Elephas maximus indicus: one gene and its partner. Each later gene encodes a partner of the first gene's protein in a complex. Links are inferred from orthologs where the notes say so. Each region holds a gene or a part of one and is shown in the gene's direction. Other genes may lie near its edges. The genes, in order: FLT1 and VEGFB.

Evidence for each region.
Region 2: the proteins of FLT1 (region 1) and VEGFB are in contact, whole or in part, in a crystal structure (PDB 2XAC), measured with the Homo sapiens proteins. The link is inferred for Elephas maximus indicus from reciprocal best matches to the Homo sapiens genes FLT1 and VEGFB. Residues at the interface, in NP_002010.2 of Homo sapiens: Tyr139, Glu141, Pro143, Phe172, Pro173, Tyr199, Ile202, Gly203, Leu204, Asn219, Leu221, Arg224, Thr226; in NP_003368.1 of Homo sapiens: Ser37, Trp38, Ile39, Tyr42, Thr43, Thr46, Cys47, Gln48, Pro83, Asp84, Asp85, Gly86, Leu87, Cys124, Arg125, Pro126.

Annotation. Positions count from the first base shown.
Region 1 is NC_064841.1:60,817,737-60,824,819, reverse strand, and holds the start of FLT1 (vascular endothelial growth factor receptor 1), read left to right. Parts: upstream 1-3,987; 5' UTR 3,988-4,183; intron 4,184-4,259; exon of another isoform or gene 4,260-4,377; intron 4,378-4,488; 5' UTR 4,489-4,745; coding exon 4,746-4,809; intron 4,810-7,083. UniProt on the Homo sapiens protein: Tyrosine-protein kinase that acts as a cell-surface receptor for VEGFA, VEGFB and PGF, and plays an essential role in the development of embryonic vasculature, the regulation of angiogenesis, cell survival, cell migration, macrophage function, chemotaxis, and cancer cell invasion.
Region 2 is NC_064825.1:127,414,240-127,422,072, forward strand, and holds the start of VEGFB (vascular endothelial growth factor B), read left to right. Parts: upstream 1-4,574; 5' UTR 4,575-4,794; coding exon of another isoform or gene 4,795-4,831; coding exon 4,832-4,891; coding exon of another isoform or gene 4,892-5,281; intron 5,282-5,434; coding exon 5,435-5,477; exon of another isoform or gene 5,478-5,797; intron 5,798-5,811; coding exon 5,812-6,008; intron 6,009-6,176; coding exon 6,177-6,250; intron 6,251-6,440; coding exon 6,441-6,476; intron 6,477-6,722; coding exon 6,723-6,936; coding exon of another isoform or gene 6,937-6,958; intron 6,959-7,586; coding exon of another isoform or gene 7,587-7,608; 3' UTR 7,609-7,833. Other genes in the region: DNAJC4 (dnaJ homolog subfamily C member 4), read left to right, coding at 1,085-1,312, 1,814-1,998, 2,082-2,246, 3,944-4,030, 4,114-4,219. UniProt on the Homo sapiens protein: Growth factor for endothelial cells. VEGF-B167 binds heparin and neuropilin-1 whereas the binding to neuropilin-1 of VEGF-B186 is regulated by proteolysis.

The DNA of each region.
Region 1 (7,083 bases):
AGAGAAGTTTAATGGGAATGAGTTTGAGTCTATAGGGTCCCTAAGAGTCATGGGACTTTGGGTTATAAGAGTCTACAGTTACAGATCCTGCCAGACAATAAAGCGCTTGTGAAAAAGCCTTGAGGTTTTTAACCAATAGTAAATGGGGAAGGCATGCAGTGCTACAGAACAGGCTCCTTTGATCTTAAACTGCAGAAACAGAAGTGAAGTATCCCTGTCACAGCCCCCGGGGAGTAAAAGGAGTCCAGAGCGATGAGATACAGCTCTGAGCTAGGAGACACCCAGCCTCAGAAAGAAGCTAGAAGCACAAATTAATCAAAATGAGATCTTATAAACACAGCAGCGGCATCAGCCTCTGGGAGGGACCAGGGATCAGGGATGGGCTGAAGCAGGTGGAGCAGAATGAGGAGCAAGGGTGTACCTGGCTGGTGGCCCCTAAGAGATGCCATCAGTTGGGTGGGTGGTGCTCCTGAGTGTGGTACCCACTGCCCTCATCCTCGAGATCTCTAAGGGACGCTTCCCTCTGCTCTTCCTCCATCCTGGGTGTTCCCTCCATCTAAACTACTCTCCCTTCCTCTCTCACCTCCGGGCCTTCCCACCTGCTATTCTCTGTGCCCTGATGGGGCAAAAATCTCTAGGTGGAAGAAAATAGAGTTCTGTTGCATTTTCAATCCTGAGTATCTCACCTGTGGTGGTTGTTGTTGGGTGCCATTGATTCTGACTCATAGCAACCCCAGGTGACAGAAAAGACTTGCCCCATCGGGTTTTCTAGGCTATCATCTTTACTGGAGCGGATTGCCACGTTTGTCTCCCTCAGAGCCACTGGGTGGATTCAAACTACTAATCTTTTAGTTAGCAGCCAACCATTGAACCATTGTGCCACCAGGGCTCCTTCTCACCTGTGGGGAACCCGATAAACTGGAACCTGTGGAGAGGAATTTGAGGGGATTTCAGGAGCATGTCATTTGAGGAGCGATCAAAGCGGCAGGGATGTTGAGCCTGGAGAGGAGAAGATACATGGGGCCCAGAATATCTGCCTTCGGGTGTTGGATACATTTTCATGTGGAAATATCAGAGTTGGATGGCTACTGAACCTTATTTTAAAGGAAATCCATTGATTGGCTCAGTAGATGGGTTGAACTACTTTTAAGAAAACCCACTGTGGCACAGTTCTACTCTGACACACATGTGTTCACCATGAGTCAAAGTCAACTTGATGGCAACTGGTACCACGTATTTCCATTCTTTGGAAATGGAGACAATTTCTGCCATAGTCAGGTTGCCTTGAGCAAGATTTTGAAGCCAGTGAGTTATGAGCATCTGACTAATAAAACCATAAATATGCCCGTCTGGGTGTCTCAACACAATTTCCTACCACAGGTTTGAGTGAGGACACATGCTTCTTAGATAAGGGAGCTGGAACTGTCAAGAGCATATGTATTGGTGAGTTACTTTTCATATAACACAGAAGGGGTTTATAGATCACCTGGTATTTGTAACCGACCGTACATCTTTACACTGTGTGGTATGTATGAAGCTAACTAACCCATGAGGGGATGGAAATTGTCACTGACCCTCAGTGACTACGAGGTCAGTAGTTTCCCCCTTGGTCCACTGTGGGAAGATGAGGCCCTGGACTCCCTCCTGTCTCTCGCACTGATGTCCCAACACTCTTATTAGTCGGTCTTGAATATGAGAGCTGTTGGTTTTACCAATAGCGTACTTCTGAATAGGGACCAGAAAGAATTCTCAAGAGAATGTTTGCAGCTGATAACAAGAGAGAGTGTCTGGTTTTGCTACCAAGCTGGCAATGAAATGCTCTTTTGTATGTGAGCAGGAAGCAGATAGATAGTCGACCTCAATAGCTTTTTATACCTACCAGGCATGCTGAATTTGATCTTGTCCATCACTATTAGCTATAGAATTTCTTTCATCTGCAATTTAGTCAGAAGTGTGCTGTAGCCCATTCTCCGTCAATGGTATTATCTTTTGGGGGAGGAGTTTGAGAGCTATACCTTTATTCCCTAGCTCTAAGCTCTCTCACATAACCCTTTGACAATTTGTAGCATCTTGAGTTCTCTGTGAGGAGGCTAGTGAAACTTATCAAAAGAAGTAGTTAAAAAGAAAAGAAAAAAACATTGCTGACTATAGCAAAAGCCGACAACTTTTCAAAAGAAGAGTTGTGTGGAGGACCCCTCTCACTGCAGAAGGTTTCAGTGTAAATCTAGGTCAGATTGGACCTTGACTCTTTTAAACTTAAATACGGCACTATATTAAGCACTCAGCTGCAAACCAAAATTTGCCAAACCCACCATCCACTCCATGTGGCAGTCTGCTTCCATAGAGATTACAGCCTTGGAACCGCTATGGGGCAGTTCTCCTCTGTCCTATAGGGTCACTATAAGTCAGAGTTGACATGACAGCAACAGGAAAACTATCACTGACTAGCATCTTAGATGCTCACCTGCTTATAAAGATCTCTTCAACTGTCAACTACCTTCTTTGGGTTCACAAACACACTCAATGTACGTTCATTTCTGGCAGCAGGTTTAGAAAATGGGGTCTATGTGTTTTAAACAATCAAAACAGCATTTGAAAATACATGAAAACTTTATATGTTGTGCTGTGCAAGTGGGGAACTGAGAACCATTTCCCCCAGCAGCAGCTCAGGCATCACTTCTGAGGAGCCCTTCTGGAACTTTCCAGGCCCATCTTGGTGCCTTGTCTTCTCTTCTCTGCCCATCTTGTATACTCAGCACCCCTCCAGCATTGTAACTCTCCAGCCTCCTCAGCAGATCCTGAGCCCCTTGGTAGGCAGTGATCTCTTCTCATGTGAGTGTGTTCTACCCTAGCACAACGCCTGGCCCTTGTTAGGTTCTGGAGGACAACGCTGACAGCTTCTCCTTGGGACAGGGCGTAGGAGTGACCAGCAGCTCTGAAATGAGGCTGCCGGACCCCTTGGCTCTGGGGGTGGAAGGGGCTGTGCCCTGGGCTGGGTGAACAGTCGGGACAAGGATCAGGGGCTCAGCTTCCAGCTGTCCGATCAGTATTTATCAGCTGTACGCCAGATGATTGCATGGTTTTGGAGGAGAAAGTTTTGAGCAAGGCAGAGAAAAGGAGCCAGGGAGAACTGGGAGGGCAGTAGAGTGATGAGGAGCACTGAAAAAAACAAGAGAGATGGTCCCGTCAGAGGCTAGCGTTGATTGTCCAGTCTTCGCTTCTCCTGAACCACGAAAGCCTGTGGCTCAGGCGCCCGGAATGCAGGTGTGCAGACGTGCGTTCCCCGCACGGGGAGGCGGGTGGCTGGGGCATCAGCTCTGTCTGTGATGCCGGGACATGTGGCAACGTCAGGTTACCCAACCTTCCAGATACGGAGGTATGTAGTTCAGTCCTTCAGGGAGAATCGCCGGCTCCGTTTAGGAGCCACCAAGGTCCTTTTCATTAGGGTTGTCTGCCACGTTCCAATAAGAACTAATTCTTAAAGCAGTTTTTACAGAGACAAGACTGGGCTGCTCCGTGGAGCCCAGAGCCATTTCAGCCTTTGAGGTAGTGGAGACATAATTGAGGATCAACGTGGAATTAGTGTCATCGCAAATGATCTAGTGCCTCCAGTTCATGTCAACTGGTTTTGTTCAAAGAGCGGCACAGTCACTCATTTTGCGTAGAAAATTGCCACCCAGCAAGATTTCTTTGGTCAGAGCGATTAGAGAATAAAGTTCGAGTGCTCAGCCCTTGCAAGTTGCAAGAGTGGTTTCATGCTTCAGCTTTTTAAAAAGTATTAGGATGTTCTATTCCTTGTTTTGCTTCTAGGAAGCATGGGGTTGAGGAAATGACTTGGGCGGTTGCATCTTTGCGGCAGAAAAAGACACAAACTCGTTCCCCAGGGAGCACTCATCCCGTTGGGTCACCTCCGGGCGCTCCCGGTCAAGTCTCCCGTGTAGAGGGTCCCCGGCTTCGTCTTAGCCGTCTCGGGACGGTCTGGCGGGACTGGGGGCAGCAGGGCGGCGCAGCCAGAACCCGGCAGGAGAGAGCGCGCCTGTGGCTCCCTCCTTGTGCCCAGGACGCTGTCGCGCAGAGTTCCCTTGGAGCGGTTTGCAGGGGCGCTGCTCCGACTTTCCGCCCGCACCGGGGCGTGGGACGCCAGCCTCTCTGCCCTCCCCACTCCAGGCGGCCCCCGAGCTGAGTAAGCCGGGGGGGGGGGAGGGAGCCCTCAAGGATTTCCTGCCGGCGATGGCGGGGAGGGGGGAGCGGCGCGGCGGCCGGAGGGCCTGAACCTGCGGGGCCGCGCTCACGCTGCCGCGCTCCGCGGGCTACCCCGCCCTGGCGCCCCCGCCCCTGCGCGGAGCGGTCGGGAAGCAGCCCGGGAGGAAGAAGAGGGTAGGTGGGAGGCGGATGAGGGGTGGGGGACCCCTTGACGTCACGGGAGGAGGTGCCGGGGAGGAAGTGGGCCGGGGAAAGGTTATAAGCCGCCCCCGCCCTGCTCCTCAGAGTTGAGGTCCGCAGGAGACTCGGGGAGCGCGCGGCGGTCACTTCTCGCGCTCCTCCCGGCGGCAGCAGCGGCGGCGCGGAGCGGCTTCGGGCTTGGCTGCGAGGATTACCCACAGAGGGAGTTTGTCCCCCCGGCTGGAGCGACGACGACGGGCGCTCGGGGTGCAGGGCTGCAGCTCGAGGCCGGGCTCAGGCGGCGGGGTCGTGGGCCCGCGGGGAGCGCGGGCGCCGGGCGAACAGGCCGCATCGCGCTCACCATGGTCAGCTGCTGGGACACCGCGGTCCTGCTGTGCGCACTGCTCGGGGGGCTGGTTCTCGCAGGTGAGGCGCGCCGGGGGTCGAGTCCTGCTCGGGGAGGGCAGGGCCGGGGCCAGCGGGGAGGGGGGGCTGCAGCCGGGAGGGCGAGCCGCCGGGAACTTGGGAGACTAAACTGGTGCGGTCCCGCCTGCGGACGCGGCGCCCTCTCCTCCGCCGCGCGGCGGGCGCTGCGAGCGGACAGCGGCGGGGGGCCCGCCGGCATTGCAGCTCGCCCGGCCGCGGGCGCAGCGTCGGGTCCCACTGGGAGGGCTCGCCGGCCCCCAAAGCTGGCTCCCGGGCCGGAGCTCCTGGCGGGCACTCAGTCTGCGCCGGACGCCCTGTGCTGGGCTGCGGCGCCCTCCGGAGCCCGGGGAGCGGCGCCCGGAACGCCCCGAGGCTGCCGGACTGGGCTGAGCGCGCCGTTGGCGACATTGGTCATCGGCCACCATCTCGAGACAGAGAAGGGCAGAGCCAACTTGGAGGGGGCGCGTGCTGGCGGGAACCAGACGGATCCCAGGAGAGGGCAAGCACTGTGATCTCCCTCCCCGCAGCGGGAGCTTTTGGCAGCGCCTCCTCTTGCCTCCGCCGTGCAGAGCGAGCTGCGCGCAGCCGGCCGGTGGCGCTTTTGCCCGGAGCCGACGGGCACGCGGTGCAGCCAGGTCGCCGACGTGAGTGGCCCTGGACTGACGAGGGCGGCCGAGGACCCAGACACCGTTAGGTTTCGGAATTGCAAGCCTAGCCTTGGAATTCCGAGCTAAGAAAGGGCGGACGATGTGTGGACCAAAGATGCGGTCAGAGGATTCGGTGCGGTCCGCCCCGCTGCGGAGTCGGCCTTTGCGAGAAGACAGGGATAACCTGCGGCGGAGCCTCGGGGGTCAGGAGGCTATGCGAGCAGTTAGTGTGGAGGTGGCCCCACAGAGGGGTCAAAGCCTGAGAGGACTTAGAGACCCGGACTCGCCATCTCTGCCCAGCGGGGCAGACTGACGGTACCCTCGGGTCCAGTCCCCCTGGGCGCAGAGCCAGATTTCGGAGCACCTTTCTTTTTAAGCAACCTGGAGAAAGGTTAAATATGAAACAAGATACAGTATTATAAACTAAAATCAGTCATTGCAACGTTTCCCAGGAAGGAAAGTCAGTAGAGTTGAGCATATTAAAGAACAAACAAATAAAAAACTTGCTAAGTCTAGAAGGAAGAAAAAATTTGCGGTCGAGTTGATTCAACTCATAGCGACCCAGCAGGACAAAGTAGAACTGACTCATAGGATTTCCAAGGCTGTAACCGTTAAATGTCGTTTCTCAGTGGGAACACTCACCTGTATCATCAGTTTTTAAGGAACAAGTAAGAGTTCCAATTAAATTGGTGATCCCTTAAAGCCAGGAGATGGGGTCCAAATTGTGAAGCCTGAGAACTTGCTGTAGGTTTGGAAAGTTGCTCAAATAACGAAATGAAATATTGTATTTTCTATTTCACAGATGCGTTTGTGTTTTGAAGTCACTTACAGGGTCGCTATGAGTCGGAATCGACTCGAGGGCACTGGGGTTTTATATTGAAATACAATTGCTTAAGAATTTAGTAAACCTGCCAAAGCTATTTCCAGTATGTAAAGGTAAATTAATGCAAATCCAAAAAATGGGGTGAGGGAAATACTGTTTTACTGGAGTTTCTGTTTCACACACATACAACTTTATTTTTCTTTCAAGAAACATGGTTCTCTCTCTGATTATCCAACTTTATTGTTTTTTAAACTTTTTTTACAAATTTCTGTATTCGTTGTGGCGGTTTTTGTACTGAGAAATACATTAATGTTTTCGTGGTGGCTACCTTTTTTACCTATGGTCAGTTTTTAGAAATGCTCTACAGATTCTAGAATATATTTTCACTATAATTTGTCAATATCGATAGTAAATATTTATTAAGGCACCCTTAATAGGATTTTAAATACAATGTTCGGATCTCAAAAAAAAAAAAAAGTGGTTGGCTTCACTGAATAGAAGCAACTTTAATCTGTGGAAATTTTTCCAAAATGTAGGTGGGAGCTTCTTGGTGATTTCGCTTAGATTTTATTTTACTAAAATGGGGCAAGATTTAAAAGAAATCTTGGCACTCTTGTAATTTTTTAAAAAATGCTCGTGTGCATAGACAGGAAGAAAGGGGAGCCAACAGTGCCGAGGTGATGGCCCTTTTCCTCGGGCAGCTTAGGGAGTTTGCAATTGCAAAGCCTGCCTTTGCAAACTTAAACTGCAGGTGTCTTAGCTGATTAGCAACTGTCTCAGACAGTAAAACCATCAGCTACCTGC
Region 2 (7,833 bases), on another chromosome or scaffold:
TCCGTTGTCAGAGGCGGGGACAGGTCCAGGACCCTAGATTCTGGTCCTGGGCAAGGAGGCCCCACCCGCCCCAGGGTTCCCCGGGTTTACTTCAGTTTTCCTTGGCAAGAAAACGGGGCCAGGTCCCTTCTCGGAGTACTTGAAGTCCGGCCCCGTCCTGGTCTCCATGCATTCCTCTCTGTGGCCTCCTTTCCCCAGCTGCCCGCCCGCCATCATGCCGCCCCTGCTGCCCCTGCTGCCCCTGCGCCTGTGCCAGCTGTGGCGCCGCAGCCCCCCCACCCGGCTCCTTGGAGCGGCCGCCGGGCAGCGGTGAGTTGGGGGCCAGAAGCCAGGCCCAGTCGTTCAGTGGGTTTTTGTTGAGAATCTACCGAGCTCTGGGCCCTGCCCTCGATGCTCGGATAGTTGGGTCTCCACCCTGTGCCAGGTGCCTTACAGGCTAATCTCAGGTAACCCTCACCCTCACTGCTGAGGACCCTGAGGATCAGAGATTAAGGGACGACCCCAAGGTTGTACAGCGAGTTAAGTGGCAGACTTGGCATCTGTTCAACCCGATGTGCTTTCCACAACACTAGTAGTCATTGACCATCACTGCACATAAGCCACCTGGAGGGTAGGGGGAGTTGCAAAAATGTGGATTCCTGGGCCCAGCCCTAGAGATTCTGATCTGGAGGAACAAGGTGGGTCTCAGGAATCTGGTTTTTTAACAAGGTCTTTAGGTGTTTCTGCTGCAGAGGGTCTGAGGACCACAATCGGAATAGTCCTGATTTGTACGCCTTCAACACTCAAAAAGGGAGGAGGGATTTGGAGCTATGTCTGTGTTGGGACCTGCCTCAGCCCCTGAGCCTCGAGGAGTGGGGGTTGGAGCCTTCAAAGAGGCCTGGTGTCCACCTGGGGTACTGGGCCAGAGGGGGACCCCAGATCCCTCAGGGCTTCACTCTGGAACCACAAGGTCTCATGAGGGAATGTCTTTATCCCAAGGGAGAGGGCTAGGGATCTGCTCAGCCCCCCACCGTGTCTCCCTGGGAAGCGTACAGTGCAGAGGGCTCTGAAGCTCAGGAACCCTGGGCAAGCTCAGGAGGGAGACATGAGGGCTGGATGTCTGGGTCTCCCTGCCCAGTTGAATCAAAGAGTGGGCATGGCCAGAGAGGATGGGAGGAGCAAGGAGGGGGTATCCTCTCGGTTCCCTCAGCCCCTGCAGGTTCGGGCCTCTCTCCTCAGGTCTGGCCCCAGTAACTACTATGAATTGCTAGGGGTGCATCCTGGTGCCAGCCCTGAAGAAATTAAACGAGCTTTCTTCACCAAGTCCAAAGAGGTACCCATGCTCATAAGGGGGTGGAAAGGGAAGTCTGAGTCAGCTAGGGATATGCTCCAAACTCCTAGGAACGGAGGTGGGGTAGAATTGTGTCCCTAGCTGGTGCCACATCCCCTTAGCCTGCAAGGTAAGGAGTGGGAGTGCCCAAAGAGGGGGAATCTGGACCAGGTGGGAGGGAAGGTTGGGGTAGGAGCCAGTGGTCCTCTCTAAGGGGCTGGGCATGGTTCTTTTGATTTGCCTGCCCACTGTTGACTTAAAAGGCCTGGATGAGGGCATATGGTGAGAGTAGGGGCTGGCAGAGAGGGATGGCCCGAACACGGTGAGGGCAAGTCTGTGCTTCCTCACTCTGGCCGTCCAGAGGGCAGGCAGGCTTGAATTCAAGGGTCGCTTACCAGCTAGGCCTCTCAGAGTGATTGAGCCCTTGTGGGTGGACATCATTGAGGTGGGTCCTGGGAGAAGGGGCATGGAAAGGGAGATGAGGGGAGTCCTGTCCCACACCAGCTGCACCCCGACCGGGACCCTGGGAACCCGGCCCTGCACAACCGCTTTGTGGAGCTGAATGAGGCATACCATGTGCTCAGCCATGAGCAGAGCCGCCGCAGCTACGACCACCAGCTCCGCTGGTCAAGCCCCTTAAAGTCTCCAGGGACCACAGCCCATCCTGGACCTGCCCACCAAGCACGCAGGTACACCAGTCCTGCCCCCAGCTCATCCCTCCAGGTCTCCTGGGCAGCCTCATCCCCACACTGTATCTCCCTCTCTTTCCCAGCAGCTCCTGGGCACCTCCCAACGCACAGTACTGGGCCCAGTTCCACCGCGTGAGGCCACAGGGGCCTGAGGCGAGGCAGCAGCAGCACAGACACAACCAGCGGGTGCTGGGGTATTGCTTTCTGCTCATGCTGGCAGGCATGGGCCTGCACTATGTCGCCTTCAGGTGCACTCTGGCTCCTTGGGTAGTGGGCATGGGCGGGAGGGCAGGAGAGACTGTGAGCTCAGTAGGCTCTCCCCGTGGCCCCCATGGCCGACGCTCTTGTGTTCCTCAAGCTAAGAACTTCATTAAACCCCATCTCTGGAGCCTCTTCTTACTTGGCAGAAGCAGAGGCACTAATGGCTAACGTTGTCATTTTCTGTTTTTCATAATTTGAACGTAATTCTTTGGTGCCAGCTGCCAAGCAGCACTGGAGCAAACCCAAATCGTGAACAAGAAGCAAAGGCCCAAACCTCATGGGATTTGGTTCCTTGGTTTTTGAGGTTTAGGGTCATGATTTTATGAGACATCCCAGTTAATAGGCCTAATACCGTGTTTAGTGCTTCTGGTCTATTGTGTAGTGGCTGGAGTCTTAAAAGCTTGCAAGCAGCCATCCAGGGCACAACAATTGGTCTCTATGCACCTGGAGCAACAGAGGTGGGAAGGAGAGTCAGGAACAGGAGGAGGAAGTGGAATGTGTGGCTAATTGCCTTCATGAACAATGGTCTCCTTTGCCATGAACCCAGAAGAGCTGAATGGTGCCCAGCTACCATTACTAAACATTTTGATCAAAGATTCCATAGAAGAATCCTGATCAAAAGGAGAAAATACAGGACAGAATTTCAAATTCTCATGGACTCTGGACTTTCTGGAGCCATGGAGGCTGGATGAACCCCTGAAACTACTGCCCTGATATCATCTTTAAACCTTAAACCAAAAATATTCCCAGAAGTCATCTTAAAACCAAACAATAGTTTAGCTTAACTGGTAAAAAAGGTCTGCCTTGAACATTATGCTCTTTAAAGAGCTCTCTCTATGGGATCAGACTGAAAACAGCAACTCGAAAGATCAGATGGGAACCTTAGGGGGCAGCAAGTGTGTGTTAATGAGGGAGGAACAACTTAGAGAAGGTGGGTGAGAATGGTTGTACAACTCGAAGGGTGTAATCCATGTCACTCAGTTGTACATGTGGAAACTGTTCAATTGCTGTATGTTTTGCTATGCATTTTCTCAACAACAAGGAAGTAAATAAAATTTAGAGAAGAAAAAAAAAAAGAAAAAGCAGTCTGTGGACCAGAACCAGAGCATGAACTGTTTGCTACCAATGAGATGAAGGTATGGTAAGCATTTAGAAACTTTTATAGTGATTTGGAATAGTAATTTTATGTATGTTCAATCTAATAATTTAAAATAAGGCTTATATTCTGTTAAAAAAAAGAGTTGAAGAAGAAACAAGTCATCTTCACTGGTCCTCACCCACACCATCCTCACTCAGTCAGTCTGCCGGTTCCCGGCCACTCCTGCTTCCAGGCACACCAGTACCATGGCGGTGATTTTCTACAGCAAAGATACCCATAGGCTGGTACCCACAGCTAGCAGCCTGTCTGGTTCAGGGATAGGGTTAGAGGCACAATCCTGTGTAGCCTCCTGCCAGGATCAAGCCGATGTCCAGAGTTCCTGTCACTAACTTCAGCAGAACGGCCAGGGACCTGGGTCACCATTGGACCCTGGACAAGCCGTGGCACATTGTTTCCCTTCCCCACATACACAGGCTAAGGTCCCACATATGTAAAGCCATGAGACCCCAGGGTGAGGTGGAGGGGAGCAGGACTTGGGGGGCAGCAGGGATAGGGAACCCAGGGTTAATAGTAAACCCCTTGCAGGAAGCTGGAGCAGATGCACCGTAGCTTCATGGATGAAAAGGACCGGATCATCACTGCCATCTACAACGACACGCGGGCCCGGGCCAGGTCTGTCCCTGCCCTACCCTGCCCCTTCCTCACCGCCTTGGCACCACCCTCCCTGCCCCAGCCAACGGGTGCTCTCTCTTCAGGGCCAACAGAGCCAGGCTCCAGCAGGAGCGACTGCAGAGACAGCAGCCGCCGCTGCCAGGGCCTCCCCAGGACCCTGGGATGGTGCCCAGAGGCGCTGACCCGTGAGGGGCCGCCTGGACGGGGCCTGCAGTGTGTCCCCTCCTTGCCTTCCTCCCAGGGCTCCCCACTCCCCAAAACGCGTGCAATAAAGTCATTTTCAGCTCTAGTATCTGGCTGCCTCCTTCAGCCCAAGCCCCCCGCCAGGGCCTCGCCTTGGGGCTGCGCCCCGCCCTCGGGTTCTGGCGGCGGCAACCCAGGAGCCCGGCCCCCTGGGCGGTGCGTCCCCTTTCCCCTGCTGCAGCGGGAGGGGGCGTGTGGAGGGCGGACCCCGCAGCCCCCGCCCCGCCCCCGCCCCACGGCCCGGTGGGGAGCTCGTTGTCTGGGTCACATGAGCCGCCCGCCCGCCAGCCCGGGCCCGGCCCCCCGCCGCCCCAGCCGTCCCCGCCGTTGCCCGCTGCCGGCCGCCCGCCCGTCTGGCTCCTCCGGCCGCCGCCGCTGCGCTGCGCTGCGCTGCCTGCGCCTAGGGCTCGGGAGGGGGCCGCGGAGGAGTCGCCCCCGGTGCCCGGCCCCCGCCCGCCGCGCCCGGGCCCGCGCCATGGGGCTGTGGCTGCCACCGCCCCCCGCGCCACCGGGCTAGGGCAATGCGGGCGTCCCCGGCGCGCGGCCCTCGTGGGCACCATGGGCCCCCTGCTCCGCCGCCTGCTGCTCGCCGCGCTCCTGCAGCTGGCCCCCGCCCAGGTACGTGCGGCCCTGCAGCCCGCTGCCTGCCGTGCCCTCTCAAGGTTGGCGGAAGTGGGGAGGCGCGTGCCTCGGCTGAGGGAGCTGCGGGGTCCTCCTTGGACCGGGGCATTGCCGGGCCAGAGCATCCCCCGGGAGGCGCCCCTCCTGCCGCCTCAGCCTTGGGGCCACTCCCCCACCGCACCCCGTCCCACCCGTCCCCTGGGCGCAGTCGGGGGCGGAGCCACTTCGGTGCCTGCAGGACCTGGTTTCGGCGCCCACTGTGTCCCCTCCTGACCTGCTGCCTCCAGCACAAGGCCAACCGCGAGGCTTGGAGATTCGACGCCGCCTGCAGAGCGCGCAAGGCGGGTCTTGGGCCAGGGCAGGTCCCAGGTGGCCAGGAGAGGACAGGTAAAGCTAGAGCCATGGCCCCAGGAACAAAGCAATCTGGGAAGATGTCAGACCTTGAGGACAGAACCCTGGACAGCAACGGGGCCAGCCCTTCCTAGAGCCCTCCCTGGGTCCAAGGGGTGTCCCCCACCTCAGGCCTCTTGTCTCCCACAGGCCCCTGCCTCCCAGCCTGATGTCCCTGGCCACCAAAAGAAAGGTAATAATAGTAACAGTAACTTGGTAAGAGCCAGCACAAAGTGGGTTTGCCACATGCCCTGATTCTGAGTACCTTGTTGCTGTCATCTTGTGTCATCACAACTGTCCTGTAAGATGCCAAATCTTATTGTGCCCATTTCACAGAGGATAGCATTGAGGCTGTGGGGTTCCTGGGTTCTGGAGACAGGGCAGGGGAAGACAAGTTGGAAGGGCAGGTGGAGGCCAGCTGTGACATGGAGACTGGGGAGAAGAGCTGCTGGGGTGGGGGGCAGGGGAACCAGGGAGCAGCTGCAGGAAACCCCGTGGGGACTTAACCCTTACCGGTCTGCCCCCAGTGGTGTCATGGATCGATGTATATGCCCGTGCCACCTGCCAGCCTCGGGAGGTGGTAGTGCCCCTGACAGTGGAGCTCATGGGCACTGTGGCCAAGCAACTGGTGCCCAGCTGCGTAACTGTGCACCGCTGTGGTGGCTGCTGTCCTGACGACGGCCTGGAGTGCGTGCCTACTGGGCAACACCAAGTCCGAATGCAGGTACCAGGGCAGGTGGAGTGTGCCTGGCTTGGGTGGACACTGGGGCACAGGGAGGGGTGGGGACCATGGGCCTGCCTGTTGGACAGGCTGTTTTCCCTCCAGCCCTTGGAGTGTCCCCTTTGGCTTTCACGCCCACTGTCTTACCTGTCCTCCTCCTCCCGAGCACAGATCCTCGTGATCCGGTACCCTAGCAGTCAGCTGGGGGAGATGTCCCTGGAGGAGCACAGCCAGTGTGAATGCAGGTGCCAGCCAGGCCCACCTTCTGCACTCACAGACACCAGGCTTGAGGGGTGATGGGTGTATGGCACCTGGGGGTGGGGACCGGGTTTCTGGGAGTAGAGCCAGGCTAGGCCTGGGATCTGGGGCAAGAGAGTGGGGTGCTTGAATTTCCTGATCCTCCCTCTCCTTGTCTCTGTCTCTCTTACCTTTCAGACCCAAAAAAAGAGAGAGTGCTGGGAAGCCAGACAGGTGAGCCTTTCCAGCTCCTGCTGAGGTGGAGTTGGAGCCCAGGATGGGTGGGGTGCGTGGAGTAGAGGCTATACAAGTGTGTCAGGAAGCTGTGGTCCCCTCCCTCTTTCTCCTCCCACTTGTCCCCCCTCCCCTTTCCATCTGCTCCCGAGTCAAGTCGTGTGCTCTGGGGTCTGACCTGACCCCAGCTCCCGGAAGCTGGAAGCCTCTTTCTTCCTGCCCCAGACATGTTGCTTCTCCTCCTAGGGCTTCCACTCCCCACCACCGCCCCCAGCCCCGCTCCATTCCGGGCTGGGACTCTGTCCCCGGAGCACCCTCCCCAGCTGACATCACCCATCCCACTCCAGCCCCAGGCCCCTCTGCCCACGCTGCACCCAGCGCCGCCAGCGCCCTGACCCCCAGACCTGCCACTGCCGCTGCCGACGCCGCAGCTTCCTCCGTTGCCAAGGGCGGGGCTTAGAGCTCAACCCAGACACCTGCAGGTGAGGGGCTTGCGGGCTGGGTCTTTTGGGAAGGCCTCAGGCCCGGTCCTGGAGCAGGTCCAGCATGCGTCTGCCAGTGGGAGGAGAGCCAGGGAAGTGAAAGCTGTTGAATGTGTTGAACAAGTATTTCCCAAGTGTCTGCTGCATCGTGATGAGCGTATACAAGGCTAATGCTCTAAGGTGGGAGTTGGGAGTTGGATGCGAGGACAGATCGTGCTAGCAGTGGAGGTTGAGAGCTGTGGTGAGGGCCACCTGAGCCCATCTTTGAGAGGTCAGAGAAGTTCTCCTTGAGGAGGTGACATTTGACTAGAGATGAAGGAGACAACCTCTCCCAGTTTGCAAAGCTCTGGGCTTCCCAGAAGCCCCTGTGGTAGACATATGGCCCACATCATGGGTACCAAGAGGCCAGGGGATGTGGTGGGACCCAGTCTGCCGCCCTTTTCTGAGGTGCTCTCACCCCTTCTCCACTCCACAGGCAAGCCATGGGGTGTCGTCATTAGGACCAGACCAGTTGGGGCTTACCAGGAGTGTTAGGCGAGAATGGGATTCACTGAGAGTAACAAGGGGTGAGTAAAGAGGAGCTGGGGCTGAGCTCCAGCTGGTGTAAACAGACCCCTCCCCTCTTCAGGTGCCGGAAGCTGCGAAGGTGACACATTGCTTTTCGGACTCAGCAGGGCCACTTGCCTCACAGGCCACACCCCAGAAGGGGACAAGAGGGGAGCCTGATGAGGACACTCCAGCCCTCAAAACCTCAGCCAGGGCAGACGTTGCTCCAGGACCTGGGCCTCTCAGGGGGCTCTCCTGCTGTCCCTTGTGCCCCCGAGGCCACCGTCCAGTTGGGTGGGCACAGTTGGGCAAGAAGACTTGGAGGCATC